Linked DNA regions of Oryctolagus cuniculus. The protein of the gene in region 2 binds, or shares a complex with, the protein of the main gene of each other region. Links are inferred from orthologs where the notes say so. Each region holds a gene or a part of one and is shown on either strand. Other genes may lie near its edges.

Region 1 (9,534 bases), on a different chromosome or scaffold from region 2:
GGCTCTTGGTCAAAGCCACTTGAGGTCCAGGACCCTGCTGTGCCCTCCCCGTGGTCCGTGGGTGCTGGCCCATGGGAAAGGGTGGGGGTGGCTGGGGGAGGAGTCTGAGCTCCAGGGTAGCCCCCACCTCGCTGTCACCCTGAATCCTGCAAGGAGGGCCCTCTGGGGCGGGCGCCTTCTCAGGCCCCGCCCTCCCCGCCCAGGCCTCCCGGGCCAGTCCTGAGGATGAGGTCACACTGTTGTCCGGCCTTAGCCGCCGGGCCCTGTCCTCCCTCGTGGGTCAGGGTCGGGAGTGGGGTCACGGGTGCCCACTCGTGATGCCACCCTCCTCAGCCGGCGGCGCTCTCTGCGGGTTGGGAAGCAGGCCGGCAGCCACCTGATCCTGGTGCCACAGCTGCTCGGCGAGCCCGTTGAGCACGTGGGCGACGTCAGCCAGCCCGGCCCAGCCGTCCAGCGTGCGCCCGTCGGCCAGTCGCCGCCCGGGCACACTCTTCACCCGCAACAGGGGCAGCTCCCAGGCCTGCCGGAAGGCCGTGAGGTCGCGCTCGGGCACGTCTGTGTGCATGTACTGGTCAAACCTGCAGGAGGGTCAAGGAATCCACCCGGGGGGCTCTGCGCCAGCCCCCCAGCCTGCCTCCTCCCGGAGCCCCACCCCTACCCCTGCTGCACGTGGGAAGGAAAAGCCCATGGCAGGGCGGAGCCAAGGTCCCTGACCCTCTGCCCGGCGCCCGGCCAAGGACAGCCTGATAGTCCCAGGGGCCGCCCAGAGGATACTTGGAGCCAATGACCATCCTGACAACAGCAGGGGCCTCGCCCGCGACACGGGCCAGCTGGCCCGGGAGGTCTTCGAAGGAGGCACGGTCGGTGAAGGAGAAGAGGAAGAGGAAGGCGTCTGTGTTCTCCTTGCAGGCCTGGGGGTGGAGAGGCCGACTCACAGGCCGCGCGCCACAGCGCCGAGCCCTCCACCCGTGGCAGGGCCCTGACTAGCAATCCTCCCTGCACAGGAGGGAAGCCGAGGCCGGGAGCAGGGAGCGGCTGGCCCAGGGCAGAGCGCCGGCGGGGACCCAGTCCCTGGCCTGCTCGCTCCTGCCCCTGACTCAGCAGCTTGCCCAGGGCGCCCCCGCTCACCGGCAGCATGTGGTCGAACTTTCTGAGCGCCGCCTCGCCGCAGTCCCAGAACTCAAAGCGGAACATGACGACACGGTCACTGGCCTGCAGCTTGGCCGGCCAAAACACCACGGTGGTCTGGATCCCTGAGGAGGGCAGAGGTCGGCTGTTCAGCATGGGGAGGGGGGAGGGGGGAGGGGGACCAGGAAGGAGGAAGAAGGAGATACCTCCCCGCGGGGGTAGCCCTGGTCTGATGGGGGCAGGCACAGCCCCTGACCTGGGAGAATTCCGGCCTGGGAGCCCTGGCTGTGCCGAAGCAGCGTCCCTGCCTGCACAGGGCCCACACCCGGGGCACCAGGGGCCGTGCAGCCTCCAGCGGGAAGACACAAGGAAGCTGGGCCTTTCCGGGGTGCCCGCCGCGTCTCCAGCAGCAGCCCACGGGCTTGGTACCGCTACCCGCTGGGGACAGAGGAGCCAAGGAAGGCTCTGTCAGAGAGGAAAAGCGGCGCTCAGGGCGGCCGTGAAGGCGATGAAGCCTGGCTCACTCGGCCCAGGACCAGGTCACTTCGTCCACCCCAGGAGGCCTGGAAGGTGGGCAAAGGGTGGGGCCGCACTCACTCACCGATGGTCTCGTGGTGCGCCGTCGGCACCTCCAGGCCGGCCAGCTTGGCCACCAGCGCTGTCTTGCCCACGCCACTCTTCCCAGACACGAAGACCTTGTAGCTGGCAGTGTCAATGGCCACAGACGGGGGCAGCACTGGCCGTTCAAGCAGCCCTGGTGTACGGAGGGCAGCAGAGGGTCAGAGGGCCAACCGTGCACCTGCCGCCTGGGACCCCAGGACGGACAACCGCACCTCCACGGGCGTCTTCAGGGCTGACCCCCCTTTCGTGGGTGTCAACATTTATCCCAGTGAGAGACAGGCAAGGAGAGAGACCCCCTCGACTCCTCTCTAAGCATCTGCTGCGGCCGGGCCGGGGCCGGGGTCAGGAACTGAAGGCTCAGCCCGTGGCAGGGACCAGGGACCCCACTGCCTGAGCCTCCCTGTGCCTCATCTGCTGCCTCCCTGCGCTGAGCTGGGGATGAAACTCAGGCACTGCAGGCTGGGACGCAGGTGTCCTAACCCGGCACCACTTCTAGGCCAGACGCTCTCACGCCAGCTTTACGGAAGCCTGAGACACGAAGAGACCGGCCTCCGTTCCTGCAGTGGATCCGCTGGTAGTTCTTCGCTGTTCTCGACCTTTCTGGGCGGGGGTCAGGGGTCAGGGGTCATAATGACACACTCAGGTGGGTATGCTCAGCGGTTAAGGACCTTAGGCGCTGTGGCGCAGGAGGTTCATCCTCTGCCTGAAGCGCCAGCATCCCATGTGGGCGCCGGTTCCAGTCCCGGCTGCTCCTCTTCTGATCCAGCTCTCTGCTATGGCCTGGGAAAGCAGCAGAAGATGGCCCAAGCACTTGGCCCCTGCACCTGCGTGGGCCTGGAGGAAGCTCCTGGCTTTGGATTGGCTCAGCTCTGGCCATTGCGGTCATTTGGGGAGTAAACCAGTGGATGGAAGACCTTTGTCTCTGTCTCTTCCTCTCACTGTATGTAACTCTACCTCTCAAATAAATAAGTAAAATCTTAAAAAAAAAAAAAAAAAAAACCCTCATGGCATTTGCTGGTGAAAACACTGCAAAGTCACCACTTTCCGCCAGTCCAGCAACTTGACCCTGACTGTGGTCCAGGAAACAGTGGCTCTGTGTTACTCCCAGGACATCGGCTCCACCTACTCGCACACAGCCGCAGGGGCAGTGACAGGTGACCCTCGGTGGGCCCTGCTCGGGGCGGCGTCCACGTGTGCCTCCTTCCCTTCCTCGGGTGCTCTATGGGGCAAACACTGTGGACACCCACTTTACAGAGGACAGACCTGAGTTATTCATGGTCGCAGGGCTAGGCAGTGGTGGGGTCTGGGTGACCCTCCCTCCAGCCCAGCCCACAGGAAGTAAAGTTTCAGTGGCCACAGGCGAAAGTCATACTTTGAATTTGACCAACTTCTAAAAAAATTAATAAATAAGAGTTACCCTTACCCACAAACTTCGGTTCATTACCTATCACGTGTAGCAAAGGGCTTAAGCCCAGCGACCAAAGGCACAAGGATCACCACCTGAGGTTCCTAGGATCAGGACAGCCCATCAGCCGCTCAAGGTCTGGTTTGGAAACCCTGGAGCTTGGACACAAAGGCTCAGAGGACTCTGGTCCTTTGCCACTCAGTGCGGCCCCTGCACTGCAGCACTGGCATCTCCTGCTGTCCAGAGGCCCCTGGGGCAGACTCTGCCCTTGAACAGGACCCTGGAGGACAGGGTCTGCCCCCACACTAGCGCTACAGGCTGGGCCTTGGCCCACTCCAAGTAATACCCAGGTGTTTTTTTTTTTTTTTTTTTTTTTTTTTTACAGGCAGAGTTAGACAGTGAGAGAGAGAGAAAGGTCTTCCTTCCATTGGTTCACCCCCCAAATGGCCACTACGGTCGGAGCTGCGCCGATCCGAAGCCAGGAGCCAGGTGCTTCCTCCTGGTCTCCCATGTGGGTGGGTGCAGGGCCCAAGGTCTTGGGCCATCCTCCACTGCCTTCCCGGGCCACAGCAGAGAGCTGGACTGGAAGAGGAGCAGCGGGGACTAGAACCAGCGCCCATATGGGATGCCGGCGCTTCAGGCCAGGGCTTTAACCCCTATTTGAAGAGTGATGCATGAGATGGTTCTCGCTGGCACCACTAACACACGTGTTGGAATTCCTCGATAGAAGAGCACGGCCTTCCACGACGCCTTCCTTACGAAAGTGTCTCAGTTACCACCAATCAGCCGCGCAGAGCCCCGGATGTGTGCACGCAGCTCTGCGGGCTAAGGGCTGGCAGCTTCTAACGTGCGGGCCCAGACCTTGGGGCGCGCTGGCGCTGGCTCCGTCCTGGGGAGCTGCGTCTTCTCCCACAGACACAGACCAGGGGTCGGGGCGCGATCCGCGCGGGGAGCGCGAGGTGCCCCCGCGGTCAGCGTGTCCGCCGCGGCCGCCGCGCTGGGCGGGATTTGGGCTGTTCCCGTGCTCCTGGCCCCGACGGTGGAATCCGCTGAGGGATCAGGGTCCCGGGGGCCCACGGCTGAGCACGCGAGGGCGCAGGCTCCCCACGGAGGGACGCGCGGCCGCGGGCACTCACCGAACAGCCGCCGGCGGCTCCTGCGCAGGACGCAGGCCAGGAACTCCTTGCCCTCGGGGCTCTCGTGCCAGTCTGGGACAATGGCCGAGCCGGGCGCGGGCGGGCGAGCCATGCTGGGCACCCTGGCGGGGGTGGGTGGGAGGGGGCGGCAGGGTGCTGAGAGCGGGCAGGGGGGGAGAGGGGACCCGGGACCCCTCTTAGTCCCCTCCGCCTCTCCCAGCGCAGAGGGCGCAGTTCCGAGCGCCCCCTCCTCCGTGTCACCCCGCACCCCGCCCCGGGGAGTCATCCCTTTATTTCCCTGGGCAGGGGGAGCGGGAGCCGTTTTCGGGGGTCACACAGCCCTGCTCCTCTCCCTCCTGGGTTCCGACTCCGGGAGCCACCCCCCAGCTCTCACCGTCAGCCACACGCGCTGGCGAGAACGCCTCGGTGGCGACGGTCTCTTTAAAAGCCTTGCGCTGAGCTCCCTGCCCGGCCCGCCGGGTCCGCTTCCGCCAGGCCTGCGTCCGGCTTCGGCGCGCGCGCCGCCCGGCCAGGCGCCGGGGCTCAGGACGCATGTGCAGAGGCCGTTGCCATGGGGACGCCGGGGCGGGGCCCGCTAACGCCGGCCGCTGCGCGGCGGTTGGGCGCCCGAGCCCGCGGGCGGTGACGTCAGGTCGGGGCCTCCGCCCAGGGCCCTTCCTTGCCGCTCCGAAGCTGGGAACGCCAGCGCGGACCAGCGCCTGCCCGCCTGCGGCGGACCTCCCAGCTCCCAGCCTGCGGCCCCGCGCCACTGCTGGACGCCGGGCAGTGGGCCGGCGGCGCCAACGCCCGCTGGGTGCACCGGCTGCGGAGGGGCCGCTCGGCGAACGCTGTCCATCAGTTTGTCGTCGATTTCCTGCAGTGCCTTCGAGTCGCGCGTGTGCCTGCCTTGCTAAGCCTGACCTAGGAGTTCCCGTTCACTGAAGGGCTGTGCCAGCAGCGAGGGCTGTAGAGGTCGCCTCATTTATAAAGCAGCCTGGAGCAATGGCATTCTCCCTCAGTCACGTAGCAGTCCATGTCTGTTTCCCCATACTGGGTTTCAGGTTTTTAAAAACTTTGCCGGGACCGGCGCTGTGGCGCAGTGGGGAAAGCCGCCGTCTGAGTGTCGGCATCCCATATGGCGCCGGTTCGGGTCCCGGCTGCTCCACTTCTGATCCAGCTCTCTTCTGTGGCCTGGGAAAGCAGTGGAAGATGGATCAAATGCTTGGGTCCCTGCACCTGCGTGGGAGACCCGGCGGAAGCTCCTGGCTCCTGGCTTCAGATCGGCGCAGCTCCGGCCGTTGCAGCCATTTGGGGAGTGAACCAGCAGAGGGAAGACCTCTCTCTCTCTGCCTCTGCCTCTCTACAACTCTGCCTTTCAAATAAATAATTAAAAAAAAAAAAAAAAAAAAAAAACACAAAACTTTGCCCCAGGGCGAGTGCTGTGGCATAGTAGGTGAAGCCACTGCCTGCGATGCCAGTATCAATAAGGGTGCTGGTTCAAGTCCTGGCTGCTCCACTTCCAATTCAGCTCCCTGCTAATATGCCTGGGAAAGCAGTGGAGGATGGCCCAGGTGCTTGGGCCCCTGCACCCATGTGGGAGACCCAGAAGAAGCTCCTGGCTTCTGCCTGGCTCAGGCCCAGCCGCAGCCATTGTGGCCATCTGGGGAGTGAACCAGCAGATCTGTGTCTCTCCCTCTCAGTAACTCTGCCTTCCAAATAACTAAAATAGATCTTTTTTAAAAAGAAAACCAAAAACTTTGCCCCAGCCACCAGAAGGGCTGTTCCCAGTGAGGCTGGAATCAGCCAGGGGGCCAGCAACCCACAAATCATGGAGGCCCACCGGGGGGGTGGGAGGGGACAAGGATGCGAAGACAGGGTGCTGTCCCCCATCCTGCTTGCCCCACAGCGAGGCAGAGGCGCAAGGAGCCATTCCTCGCCCAGACGCCCGGCTCACCTGCACGGCTCTTATAGCCCATTCACTCAGAGGCAGGGTTATTCACAGACCTTCCACCCACTGGGTCACTCCCCAAATGGCCTCAACAGCCAGGGCTGGGTCAGGACAAAGTCAGGAGCCAGGACCTCCATCCTGGTCCCCGACGTGGGCGGCAGGGACCCAAGCACTTGAGCCATCACCTGCCGCCTCCCAGGGTGCGCATTCGCAGGAAGCTCGACCTGAAGCAGAAAAACCTGGACTCAAGCCAGGAATTTCAGCGTGGGACAGGGGCATCCCCAGCAGTGTGGCCCGCTGTGCCACAACTGCTGCTCCACAATTCCAACAGTGTCCTCAGGGTTGTTTCCTTTCCTCTCCCCCTCGGGGAGACGCACCCCTGCCCGGGACGCACAGGTGCGGAGGTCAGCCCTCCTTGGATGCCGCCTCTCAGTGCCTTGGCTCCACAGAGAACTCTCCCTTCTGCCATGGCCCTGGCTGCGCTGGTCTCTCCCCCCACCGCAGGTTCTGATGGGCTTCTTCCCCTGGCTACATCTGAGCAGATGACCTCTGGCCATCACACCGGCACAGGTCACTCGACAGTGCCATCGACCCCGGCCACAGGCTGCCTTGGGTGTGCTGCGCCTCCCACAACCCTCTGCCTGGAACATGGGAAGTCTGTCTTTCCTGATGCCACGAAGCCATCAACATCCTGCATCGCTGACTGGAAGGCGAGGCCTGGGTGGTGCCCACCAGGGACCCCCAAGAAAAGCCGCCCTCATCTGCCCCTACCAGTTTAGCAAGGTGTGGCTATGATCTGATGTCCTCACAAATCTGTGAGGACATGGTCTAGACCTATTGGGAGCGACACTGTAAATCTCTGTAGGCATGTGTTAGGTTTCTGTGAAAAGTCTGCTTAAATGTAAACTTCATATCACACTGTCAGTTTTTGTCTTAATAAAACTATAAATCCGTCGGTTGAAACTGAATCAGGGCTGGCACTGTGGCGTAGTGGATAAAGCCACTGCCTGCAGTGCTGGCATCCCATGTGGGTGCTGGTTTGAGTCCCGGCTGCTCCACTTCCAATCCAGCTCTCTGCTGTGGCCTGGGAAAGCAGTAGAAGATGGCCCAAGTGCTTGGGCCCCTGCACCCATGTGAGAGATCTGGAAGAAGCTCCTGGCTTCGGATGGGCGCAGCTCTGGCCGTTGCAGCCATTTGGGGAGTGAACCAGCAGATGGAAGCTCTCTCTCTCTCTGCCTCTCCTCTCTCTCTGTAACTCTTTCAAATAAATAAATCTTAAAAAAAAAAAAAGAAAAAAAGAAAAAAAAGAAACTGAATCTCCAGTGTGACAGTTTTAAGAGGTAGGGTCTTCGAGGCGATTGGGATTAGTGACCTTATAAAAAGGCTGGCGGGGACAGGTTTGCCTCTTCTGTCCCCTCCACACACACACACACACACACACACACACACACACACACACACACAGGGCCCCTGACGCAGCAGCACCAAGGTGCCACCTTGGAAACAGACAGGGCCCTCAGTGGACTTCAGAGCTGCTGGCGCCTTGATCCTGGAGCCCCTGCCCTCTCGAACGGTAAGAAATGCATCTGCCGCTCGTGAATTACCCTGTCTGTGGTGCTGGACTGAGACGCCCACGCAAGGGGCGGACTTAGCTCTCCGGCTTCCGCAACAACCCTCCTGCCCCTGGCTGGCTGTGCCGGCTGTACACGGGTGCAACTCCATCTTTCCTGAGCAGCTCAGGAAATTTTTTTAAATATTTATTTTAAATAGTTACGGAAAGACAGAGAGAAATCTTAAATATCTTTCAGTTGCTGGTTCATTCCCCAAATGGCCACAACAGCAGGGGCCGGGCCAGGCAGAAGCCAGATCCTGTAACTCCATTTGGGTTTCACACACAGGTGGGAGAGGTCCAAACTCTTGGGCCACCTTCAGTGCTTCCCAGGAGCACTGGCAGGGAGCTGGATAGGAACTGGAGTGGCCAGGACTTGAACCGGCTCCTCTGGGATGCCGGCTTGACCTGCTGTGTCACAAGGCAGGCCCCAGGATCTGCCATTCTTGTTTGGCCAACGTGGCACGTCTCTGCTTTGGGATGAGGTGGTGGGCTCCTCCAGGAATGCCCTCCCTGTGTCCCAGTGCCTCGGGGCTCAGCAGATGCACTGGAAGCGATCCCCAGGCCAGTCCCCACTGCCCTGGCTTTGCAGACCCCACTGCCCATGCGCTGCTGTGACTGCCCGCCCCCTTCCTTCCAGGGCTGCCCGGGGGGAGGAGCACTTTGCTAGGACTTTTAGGCATCTACTTAAGACATCAGCTTTGCTTTGTGCACGCTGACAGGGTCTGGGCCCAGAGCCCAGCTTGTGGGGAACGCATTGACTTTCCCACAGCTGGGGGCTGGGGCAGAGAAGGCAGGAGAGCCAGCCTGGGGGGACCGTGCTTGGGAGTCAGAGGCCAGGGAGGGGGCACCACCCAGGTTGCAGAGGGCAGAAGAAACGGGCACACACTCTTCAGTCCTTCCATTGCCTTCTCAAGATCTGAAACGCTGCGGACTCAAAGCCTTCCACAGGGTGCCCCCATGTGGCCTGTGGGGGAATCACACCCATTCAACCGGTGGACAATTCTTGGCTGCTCCTGCTGAACCGCCCATCTTTGAGGCTGGTTCCAACACTGCCGTTTCACTTATAAAATTGAAGTGGGATGACTGAACCAGGTTTTGTTAGTTTTGAAATATTTACTTATTTAATTAAGAGTGACAGAGATCTTCCATCCGCTGGTTCACACCCCAAATGGCCATGACGATGAAGGCTGGGCCAGGCAAGTCAGGAACCAGCAGCTCCATCCAGGTCTCCCATGTGGGTTGCAGGGGCCCAAATACTTCAATCACCTGCTGCCTTCCCAGGCACATAAGCAGGAAGCTGGATCCAAGGCAGAGTAGCCAGGACTCAAAACAGGCACTGTGCTATGGGACATTCAGTCTCACAAGCACCTGCTTATCCACTGTGCCTCGTGGGTCTGCTCTGGGCCAAAGCTTGTGCCCATTTCGCTGACCTGTTACCTCTCTTCCAGACCCTGGCTGAATGCGCAGAACTGCGTCTCATGTGCAGACCAGCGGTCATCTCCCTCCCACATCAGCGATCAGCCTCTGCCTGACCACTCCAGCAGTGGCGAAGTCCCCACCTCACGCAGCCTGTCGCTGGCAGTGCTGTAGGACAAGGGGACAGTAATGGCCTTTGGGAACAGAAGGCAGACCTTGGCTAAGGGAGGAGAAAGGGCACAGAGAAGCAAGGCCCCAGCCACAGGCA
Region 2 (9,675 bases):
GCCCCGCGCGGTGGTGGGGCCCTGCGCACAGGCCCCTGACGGCCGCCTTGCACACCCCCAGGCCCTTACAGGAGGCTCAGAAGATCTTCAAAGCCAACCACCCCATGGATGCGGAAGTTACCAAGGCCAAGGTGAGGGGGCGCGTGGGGGCGCGGCCCCACCACTGCTCTGGGCCTGTTTCCCTCCGGGAGTGGGGCCGGCTCTGGCCCAGGGTTTCTGGGAGTGGGACACCCCCTCGCTCTCTCACGGCTGCTCCCCGCCCGCCCAGCTTCTGGGGTTCGGCTCTGCCCTCCTGGACAATGTGGACCCCAACCCCGAGAACTTCGTGGGCGCCGGAATCATCCAGACTAAGGCCCTGCAGGTGGGCTGTCTGCTCCGGTTGGAGCCCAACGCGCAGGCTCAGGTGAGCATTGGGGGGCGTGTCTGTTCCCGGGGCCTCCCCTCCCACCTCGCCCTGTGCCTTCAGTCGCTTCCGCCAACGCCTTGGCCCTGGCCGGCTGCTCTGGCCGGTGCCCCCACCGCCTCCCTCCCCTGGTCATCTCCCCCTGCCCCGGGTCTCCGTCCCGCCCCTTCACGCTGCGGCCTGCCCCGCCCCCTGAGTGCTCCTCGGTCCCCCCCCAGATGTACCGCCTGACCCTGCGCACCAGCAAGGAGCCCGTCTCCCGCCACCTGTGCGAGCTGCTGGCCCAGCAGTTCTGAGCCCGGCGGCGCCCGGAGGCCTAGGACTGAGACGGCCCTGGTGGACGGGGCAGCGCGGCCCTGCACTGGTGACGGGGAGACCCCGGGGCGGGGAGACGCCTGGCCCGGCCTCCGGCCTCTCGTACTTTTATTTTTGTTCATCTGCTGCTGTTTACATTCTGGGGGGCGAGGGGGAGCCCCCTCCCTCCCGTCGCCCCCAAGCACAGAGGGGAGAGAGGCCAGGGAAGCGGGTGCCTCCTCCCCTCCCACCCTCCTGTTGTAGCCCCTCCCGCCCCTCCCCGGCCAGGGGCTGTGTATTATTGTGAGCGAATAAACAGAGAGACTACAGGAGCGGGGTGAGGGCGTGCAGGGTGTGGGTGGCCAGGCTCCGCAGCCCGTGGGTGGGGCTCTGCGGGGACAGCAGCAGCAGCAGCCGCCGCGGCCCCAGCTGCAGAGCCACCAGGCGCCAGCCCTGGCCGGGCTGCTCGGGCCCCAACACCAGGTAGCAGGCTCTGGGCAGCTGGGCGTGGTGGGCGCGGTCCTCCGCCTTCTCCACTGACCCTGGCTCTGGGGAGGGGACGGGGGCGGCTGAGGGGCTGGACGGGCGGGAGCTGCGGCCCCGGCTCTGCAGGGCCTCGGGTGCCGGTGAGCGCAGGGAAGCCCTGGGCGGCCCCTCCGCAGCGCCCGCCCCTGCCCAGCGGGGGCCCTGCCCGCCTCAGGCCGCCTAGTGATGCCCGCTGGTGCTGGACACCGGGCCGGGAGCCCCGCCCCCGGGCAGGGCCCCGCCCACTGCCTCCCCACCCGCCCCGCTGCCCAAGGCGGCCTCCCGGGTCTCAGGCCAGTGGGCTCTAGTCAGTTTGTCCTTCCTAACCCGAAGCCGCGCTCCACGCCCACCCCACCCCTGCCCAGGCCGTGCCGGTAGCTGAGCCTCACGCAGGAGGCTGTGCTGGGGCGACCCAGGGCCGCCGGGAGACGGCACGGACCTCCCTGTGTCCTGCTCCCCTGCAGGGCCAGCCCTGCCCGGCACTGACCTGGCGGGAAGTGCGTGGCTGTGACCAGGGCGTAGAAGTTGCGGAGGAGGCGCCGGCGCTGCTCCGGGGGAGGGTCTGGGGGGAGGGACGGCAGGGTGAGGGAGGGAGGGCCCGCCCCGCCCCGCCCCGCCCCGCCCCGCCCCGCCCCCTACCCCTCCTCCCGCCCCCGCCCCTCCCCTTGGCCACCTTCATCCGCCAAGGGCTCCACGGTGAAGAGGCAGCGCTTCAGGTCCAGGTGGAGCAGCAGCAGCCTGTGGGGAGGGGGCGTCACGCCAGGGACGGGGATGCGGGCCCCGCCCGCCGCCGCGCCGCGCCGCGCCCTACCCGAGGACGTCCGTGTGCAGCGGGAAGCCGGCGGGCAGCGCCCGGCGGCCCAGGGGCAGGCAGGCGCGCAGCGGGTCCAGCAGAGGCTGCCACCAGCGGTCCAGGAGCTGCAGGGGGCGCGGTCAGAGGGGCGCGCGGGGGCGGGGCCGGGAGGGGAGGGGGAGCTGGGGGCGGGGCCGGCGCGCGCGGGGTGGGGCAGGGGGTCACCTGTGGGTCCAGCTGGCCCAGCGCCGGGCGCGGCCCGCAGAGCAGACACAGCTCCAAGCCGGGCAGCAGCGTCAGCGTCAGGAGCCGGTGCGGGACCTGAAGCAGAGCCCAGCGTGGCAGCCCCCGCCGCCGCCCCCCGCCCCGCCCCCCCCCCCGCCCCGCCGGCGCCCACCCGCCCGCTCACCGTGGGACTCCCGTGGGGCAGGTACACCGGGTAGTCTCGCGCGGCCTGCGGCGCCAGGGACGCCACCATCCAGGGCAGCAGCACGGCCTCGGGCGTCCCCAGCCGCCACCAGCCCTCTGTCGCCGCCACCACCCGGCCGGACGTCAGCAGACAGGCGAAGGCCGTGCCCGCGGCCTCGGCGAAGCCGGACAGGGCTTCCTGGGGGAGGGCGTGGGCACTCGTGGGCAGGGGGCTCCGGGGACTCGCGGCGCGCGCCGTGGACTGAGGCTGAGGGGTCGGCCCACCTGCCCGGAGCCGCAGTGTGGCCTCGCCAGGTGGGAGGGAGAGCGCGCGGCCGGGCTGCGGTGTGGCCTGGGGCTGAGCGGCCGGCAGGACAAGCTCTGGGTGTAGACAGGCTTTTCTGGGGCCAGGTGAGGGCGAGAGGTAGAAGCAGGTGGGGACGGGGCCCAGGGGGAAGGGGGCCGGGCCAGACCCACCGGGACGAGCCCGAGCCCCTCCGTACCTGCAGGAGGGCGCCCTCCGGGGGGACCACGCAGTCCACACACTGGGTCAGGTCCCCGATGAGCTCCGAGTGCCCCAGGAAGCTGTCGATGAGGCAGTAGCTGGCCTGGCGGGGGGGGGGGGGGTGGCTGAGACCCAGGTGGCCCCGAGATGTGCCACAGCCCCTCAGGAACAGGCGCCCCCGCGCCCCTCACCCTCAGCTCCTTCTTGAGCCTCTCCACGTTGCGGACGCTGGTCAGTTCTTCCAGCCCCACCAGGAGCACCTGGAGGAGCCACGCGTGTCCGAGGAGGGCTGGGGGAGGAGCCACGCACGAGGGGGCGGGGCTTGGCGAGACTCACCATGGCCCCGAACACCACGTGGAGCAGTCGCTCCAGCCGCAGCTCCGAGGCGCCGTCCTCAGAGCACAGCGCGATGAGAGTGATGCTGCGGAGGGCGCGGGAGAAGATGGACGCGCGTCCCGGGGCGGCGGCTGCCTCCGCCCTCAGCCCGGCCTGCCCTCGGGCGGGGCGGGGCAACGGGCTTGCGCGTCCCCACAGCCAAACAGCTCGCCTGCAAGAGCCGCAGGCCCCCAGGGGCGCCCCCAGGCCCTGGCTGCAAGTCCCGCGTGGAAGGCCCCCAGGGGCGGTCACCCGGGCCCTGGCTGCAAGTCCCGCGTGGAAGGCCCCCAGGGGCGGTCACCCGGGCCCTGTCCCCCAGGGGCCGTCACCCGGGCCCTGTCCCGCTGTGTCCCGCCTGGAGGGCCCCCAGGGCCATCACCCAGGCCCCGTCTCAGCAGCAAGGCCCCACCTGGAGGGCCCCCAGGGGCCGTCACCCAGACCCTGGCTGCAAGTCCCGTGTGGAAGGCCCCCAGGGGCGGTCACCCGGGCCCTGTCCCGCTGCGTCCCGCCTGGAGGGCCCCCAGGGGCCGTCCCCCAGGCTCTGTCCCGCTGCGTCCCGCCTGGAGGGCCCCCAGGGCCGTACCCCGGGCCCTGTCCCCCAGGGCCATCACCCGGGCCCTGTCCCCTGCGCCCGCCTGGAGGGCCCCCAGGTACGTCACCCGGGCCCTGTCCCCCAGGGCTGTCACCCGGGCCCTGTCCCCTGCGCCCGCCTGGAGACCTGTCATGGAAGCTTCTCCACACCACGGTCGTGTCCTCAGTCCTTGCAGAGCTCAGCTGCACCTCCAGGTTCTGCCCGAACATGTGCACTCCATTGAGGGAGCCGATGACAGAGAACGGGAGCTGAGGACGGGTGGGGGCGTTAGGGACACCCCGCCCTGTCTCCTCACTGTGAAGCCCCAGTGTCCCAGCCTCGCCCCCTCCTCCTTTCATATCCTTTTTGGGGAACCAGGCTGAGCGGGACCTTAAACGCCCCCGGAGCCTCCTCAGCCCAGCTCCCGCGAGGTCCCGAGGCCCCACCTGCTGGCGGGCGGGGGCGCCGCCGCGGCTGCTCCGACAGAACAGCGGGACCCCGCTGTTGGCCGCGAGGCACAGCAGATGCAGGGCGCCCCCAGTGCCCTCCTCGCCCATGGGGAACAGCCCCTGCGGACCCCGGCCCGGGCCCTGCAGCCCTCCGTGGGGCGGCCAGAGCTGCTCTGAGCCGGCCGGTAACTAGACTAAGTCGGCCTGCAGTCTCGAGACGCCAGAGGGCGAAAGGGGAAGCCGATGGGAGAAGGACTAAATTCCGGCCGCCTCCAACGCAACTCAGAACCTCAATCCCTATTCATCCCGGAGCCCTCGGCCAACCCCGTCAGGTTCTCTTCCGCCCCAGCCGGAAGTCACAATGCCCCTAATAAAGATGGCGGCTGTTTCTGCAAAACTTTGTAGTCTCTTCCCGAAGAGGTTTGACTTCATTTATTTAACGAGGGCAACAGAGAGGCTGGCTTCAAATGGTTGCAGTGCCAAGGCATTGCCCAGCAACCATCCTGCAGGCTATTATGAATTAAGTTCTCTAACTTGGAAAAAAAAAAAAAAGCTATGCCCCATCAAAGATGGCGACGTCCCCAAGCCGTTGCCTAGCAACCACGTTCCGTCCAGATTTTCATAATAGGCAACACCGTGCCCCACTCAAAGATGGCGACAGCGCCGCGCGGTCGCCTAGCAACCACGCCTGCCGAAGCTGTACAGCTGTGTCCTGCTCAAAGATGGACGCGTGTGGAGTCCGAGCAGCCTCTTAGGGCGAAATTGAGGAAAACACCCTCCCACCTCCGAGGGAGGCTGGGCCCACCGAGCGTTGCCTAGTAACTGCCACGTGGGAGGGTTGTTGTTGTTAGTAGAAAGAGGGAAAAATAGATCCTTTCTTGTGCAGAATTTGAAACACACTGTTTTTGATGAGTTTACACCCAGCGGGCTGGTGAAGACACCTCTCCCGCTGCTCTCCCTGAGAGCGGTAGCGGGCGTGCCTTCACAGGCCATCGCGCACTAGCGTCCTCACGTTCCCTTTCTCCACCAAGACTTATAAAATCCCACTTTTAAACGTCTTCTTACAGTTATTTATGGCCGCGACATTTGAGCAATCCTGTACTGACCTATTAGGTTCATTCCCATGTGGGTTTTTTCTTTTTTTTCAGATTTATTTATATTTGAAAGGCGGTGGGGGGGCATCGTCCATGCACTGAGCCACTCCCCCAGTGCCTGCCGCGGCCAGCACTGGACAGGAGCAGCCGGGGCCGGGAGTTCCATCAGGTCCCAGACTTCCGAGGAAGAAACATGCTGGCCGGCCGCGGCTCACTAGGCTAATCCTCCGCCTGCGGCGCCGGCACACCGGGTTCTAGTCCCGGTCGGGGCGCCGGATTCTGTCCCGGTTGCCCCTCTTCCAGGCCAGCTCTCTGCTGTGGCCAGGGAGTGCAGTGGAGGATGGCCCAAGTGCTTGGGCCCTGCACCCCATGGGAGACCAGGAGAAGCACCTGGCTCCTGCCATCGGATCAGCGCGGTGCGCCGGCCGCGGCGGGCATTGGAGGGTGAACCAACAGCAAAGGAAGACCTTTCTCTCTGTCTCTCTAACTCTGCCTGTCAAAAAAATAAACATGCAAAGAATAATTTGAAAAATAGACTATCAATTTCGCCCTGTCTTCAGTGAATTTTCCTTGCCTTCCTTTATTATGACTCCTCTGTTCCGATTCTAAAGTGCTTTTTATCTCTTTTTTCTGGATTAAATATTTTTTTCTCAATCCATTCTTATTCTGATTTCAAATTTATACACTTATTTCTCTTTTAATTTTAGTGATTGCCATTGAAATGTTACTATATACGTATTTATTTTGGCAGAGTTACAGTCAAGTAAGATCCTTTTTTAATGAAAAAAAAAAAAGGTTTGAAAGGCAGAGTGATGGCGGCGGAGATCCGGATCCTCCCCGCAGGGCTCCCTGCGCGTGGCTGCCCGGAGCCGGGGCCCACGTGGGTGTCCCACGCGGGTGCAGGGCCCAAGCACCTGGGCCGTCTTCTGTGCTCTCCCAGGCCGCGGCAGGGAGCCGGAGCGGAAGAGGAGCAGCCGGGACTCGAACCGGCGGCCTGTCGGATGCTTCCCCGCTACAGCAGTGCGCCGGCCCCTGCACGGCAGATTCTGTAAAATATCGGATCGCATGGCCTGAAGCGGAAGGCAGCGGCTCTAGGTTAAAAGAAATGTAAGAGCCGTGAGGTCCGGGCTCCCGGCTTGGGTGGCCGCTGCGGCCCTCTGGGGAGTGACCAGCGGACGGGACAGGCGCTCTCGCTCGCTCGGCCTCTCAGATAAATAAATCTGAAAAATAAGACTTCCGCAAAGCGAAGGAGGACGGGCGAGGCGGGAGGGACGCAGCGGTCCGCGCTCTCCGGCCAGCAATGGCGGCGCGGTCACTCCGCCGGGCAGCGCGGGCGGCGCCGGGACACTCCGTTAGCGGGGCCGGCAGCTCGCAGCCGCGGACGGGCCGTTTCAGGGGGACACGGGGCGGTCTGCTCAGGCTCCTACTTTTAAAAATGCATTATTTCCAAAAACATAAATAAAGGAAATATTCCAATGTTTCTGAATTGTGACGGCTAAGGCCGACGTGTGTGGTGACCGTCCGCCGACACAGGTGAAAAGCGCTTCCCGCCCGCACGGCCGCGGCGTTCCCTTCTGTCGCGCGGACCGTGTCAATCCACCGTCCCGGGACGCCAGCTCCCAGCACGCCGCGCGCGCACGCGTTGCCTAGAAACCCCCACTCCGGCCGCCGCCCGGCTTCCTTTCCGAGGCAAAGCCGCGGCGCCCGCTTCCAAGTTCACGGCCACCTCGCGGCGTTGCCAGGTAACCGCGCTTGGGACGACGTGATTGGCTCCCTCACACGCCCCTCCCCCCGCGCGCCCGTAAGGAAACTGAATCTCCGCGGTGGAAAACAAGGCCGGCGTGCGCGTTGCATAGCAACCGGGCCTCCCGCCCCTCCCCCCCGAGACCGGCGTCGTCAACAAGCGCCCCGCTCAAAAATGGCGGCCGGCCGGGCCGCTTTCCACTTATTCGGCTCTCGGGAGTCCTGAAGGGAGTTCCGTTGTCGCCGTCAGGCCTCCGAAGGGGCTCGCGATGCCCCTTCTGAGCCCTCCACGCAGTGGGCGTGAAGAAAGATGAAAAGGAAGCGCGGCAGCCCCGCGTGCCCCGCACAAACATGGCCACGGGCGCGCCCGCCGCGGCGCCAGGCCGCCCGGCGCGGGTGCGCGCGCAGCGCAGGCGCACTTCCGCTCGTCCCGCGGTGGCGGCGGCGGCGGCGCCCTGTTCCGCGCGGGGCATGGTCCCCGGGTCGGAGGGCCCGGCCCGAGCCGGGGGCCTGGTGGCCGACGTGGTGTTCGTCATCGAGGGCACGGCCAACCTGGGGCCCTACTTCGAGGCGCTCCGCAAGCACTACCTGCTGCCGGCCATCGAGTGAGTGCGCCCCCGCGGCCCGCCCCGCCCCGCCCCGCGGCGCCTGTTCCCCTCCGGCCTGACCCGGCCTCTCGCCTCCGACCCCCGCAGGTACTTCAACGGTGGGCCGCCCGCCGAGACGGACTTCGGCGGAGACGTGAGTGGCGGGAATGGCGGGCGGGGGGCGGGCCGCGCGGCCCCGGCGGAGGCTGACGGCCGCCCTCTGTCTGTCTCCCGGCCGCCAGTATGGGGGGACCCAGTACAGCCTCGTGGTGTTCAACACCGTGGACTGCGCCCCCGAGTCGTACGTGCAGTGCCACGCGCCCACCAGCAGCGCCTACGAGTTCGTCAGCTGGCTGGACGGCATTAAGTGAGCTCGGGCGGGGCGGGGGTCCCCGGGGGCGGGCGGCGCCGGGGCGGGGGTCCCCTGGGTACCCCCCGATGCGGAGGGGGACGACGTCCGGCGCGGGGAGCCTGGCTGCGCGCCCGCACCCCTTCCGCGGCGCGCTCCGGCCCTGGCCTCTCCCGTGGGGGGTGCGGGGCGGGGTGCCGCCCCAGCCTGGGCTGCTGGTGCCTGGGCGCCTTTTGGTTTAGTGACCCGTGCTGGAGACGGAGCTGGTAGGCTGCGGTCCGCTGGGTCCCTGCGCAGCTGCCTGCCGTGGCTGGGCCCGGGGCAGGGACCCCGCACACACACACACACACACACACACACACCCGGCCTGCTAGGGTGTGCCCGAGTCGGCAGCCAGAGCCAAGCGTGGAAGCCGGGCCCTGGGATGTGCGGTCTGCGTGTCTCAGCGGGAATTATTAATTACTTGAGAAGCAGAGTTCCAGAGAGAGGGACAGACAGAGGGGTCGTCCATCCGCTGGTTCACTCCCCACATGGCCTCAGCGGCCGGAGCTGCGCCGATCCGGAGCCGGGTCTCCCACGCAGGTGCAGGGCCCAAGCACCTGGGCCATCTTCCGCCTCTTTCCCAGGCCACGGCAGAGAGCTGGGTCGGAAGAGGGGCCCCGGGACATGAGCCGGTGTCCCTGTGGGATGCCGGTGCCGCAGGCGGAGGCCCAGCCCCCTTATCCGGAATCTTGAACCTCTGAGCCACACGCCTGTTTCCTGTGTGAGGTTTTTGTTGTGTTATCCCTGGTTGCGTAACAGGCCAGCTCCAAACCTAACACCGCAAACCTGATTCTCGGCAGGTTCTGGGCTCCCGCATTTGGGCAGCAGCAGCGGGCGAGGCAGCTCGGGTCTCAGAGGAGGCGCGGTCGGGGTGTCGGCCCGGGGAGGTGCTCCTGGCGGGCCGCAGTCCTTGCTGGCCGGCAGCCACGAGGCCTCTGCGCGGGCTGCTCGACGGGCCGGACCGGTGCCCGCGCTGCCGCGGCCGGGAGGTGCGGTGGGGGAGGGGCCGCCCTGGACTGTGCAGAGCGGGAGGCGGGGGCGGGGGGGGGGCCCTTTTGAAAACTGAGTGAGTTGATGCGGATTTAAAATGGTGCCTGTCAGGTCCAAGGACACTTCAGAAAGGCCGCGGGGGGGGGGGGTGGAATTAGAAGGTTCTTACTTTGAGGCAAAGCAGTTCTGAAATCCACGCAAAAAACTTCGTGGAAATGCACATTGTGGAAAACTGCACAGATTTCAAGAGTGTTCTTGTACTGAGGCACATTTTTAAAGGTTTTATTTATTTATTTATTTGAAAGAATGGGAGAGAGTATCTGCTGGTTCACTCCCCAAATGCCCGCGTCCCTGCCTAAGCAGGCCTGTTGGCACTCTGCACTCTGGCTCTGTCGGCCGGGCCGCCCGCTGGTGGCCCCGCTCTCTGCTCGCTGGAGCCCGGTGGCTTCCCCCTTGATGTCTGCCTCGGAACTGCTGGGGCCTCTCGTGGGCAGACCCCTGTTCTCGGGGGCTCCTGGAGCCTGAGGCCACGCCTCGTGTCCGAGCA

The links.
Region 1: the proteins of FUZ (region 2) and CPLANE2 are in contact, whole or in part, in a cryo-EM structure (PDB 7Q3E), measured with the Mus musculus proteins. The link is inferred for Oryctolagus cuniculus from reciprocal best matches to the Homo sapiens genes FUZ and CPLANE2. Residues at the interface, in NP_081652.2 of Mus musculus: Arg26, Arg35, Ile109, Val110, Lys126, Glu127, Arg129, Ala130, Tyr132, Cys133, Asp136, Gln215, Ala216, Ala217, Arg218, Asp219, Tyr220, Pro221, Tyr223, Pro232, Leu238, Thr239, Leu240, Leu241, Arg242, Pro255, Leu256, Gly257, Gln258, Pro261; in NP_001074643.1 of Mus musculus: Glu36, Gly38, Leu39, Leu40, Glu41, Arg42, Val83, His84, His85, Glu86, Thr88, Gly89, Ile90, Gln91, Thr92, Thr93, Val94, Lys124, Phe125, Met128, Glu134.

The regions. Positions count from the first base shown.
Region 1 is NC_091438.1:153,430,333-153,439,866, reverse strand, and holds the start of CPLANE2 (ciliogenesis and planar polarity effector 2), read right to left. Parts: upstream 4,834-9,534; 5' UTR 4,685-4,833; intron 4,413-4,684; 5' UTR 4,403-4,412; coding exon 4,291-4,402; intron 1,883-4,290; coding exon 1,730-1,882; intron 1,594-1,729; coding exon of another isoform or gene 1,478-1,593; coding exon 1,385-1,477; intron 1,254-1,384; coding exon 1,129-1,253; intron 912-1,128; coding exon 775-911; intron 579-774; coding exon 299-578; 3' UTR 1-298. UniProt on the Homo sapiens protein: Required for efficient primary cilia initiation, regulating a late step in cilia initiation. Plays a role in the final maturation of the mother centriole and ciliary vesicle that allows extension of the ciliary axoneme.
Region 2 is NC_091449.1:7,736,416-7,746,090, reverse strand, and holds FUZ (protein fuzzy homolog), read right to left. Parts: upstream 4,690-9,675; 5' UTR 4,432-4,689; coding exon 4,321-4,431; intron 4,144-4,320; coding exon 4,022-4,143; intron 3,350-4,021; coding exon 3,265-3,349; intron 3,189-3,264; coding exon 3,120-3,188; intron 3,032-3,119; coding exon 2,927-3,031; intron 2,623-2,926; coding exon 2,425-2,622; intron 2,337-2,424; coding exon 2,241-2,336; intron 2,141-2,240; coding exon 2,034-2,140; intron 1,961-2,033; coding exon 1,896-1,960; intron 1,785-1,895; coding exon 1,710-1,784; intron 1,246-1,709; coding exon 1,022-1,245; 3' UTR 810-1,021; downstream 1-809. Other genes in the region: AP2A1 (AP-2 complex subunit alpha-1), read left to right, coding at 62-131, 269-403, 622-699; MED25 (mediator of RNA polymerase II transcription subunit 25), read left to right, coding at 7,632-7,765, 7,856-7,901, 7,990-8,114. UniProt on the Homo sapiens protein: Probable planar cell polarity effector involved in cilium biogenesis. May regulate protein and membrane transport to the cilium.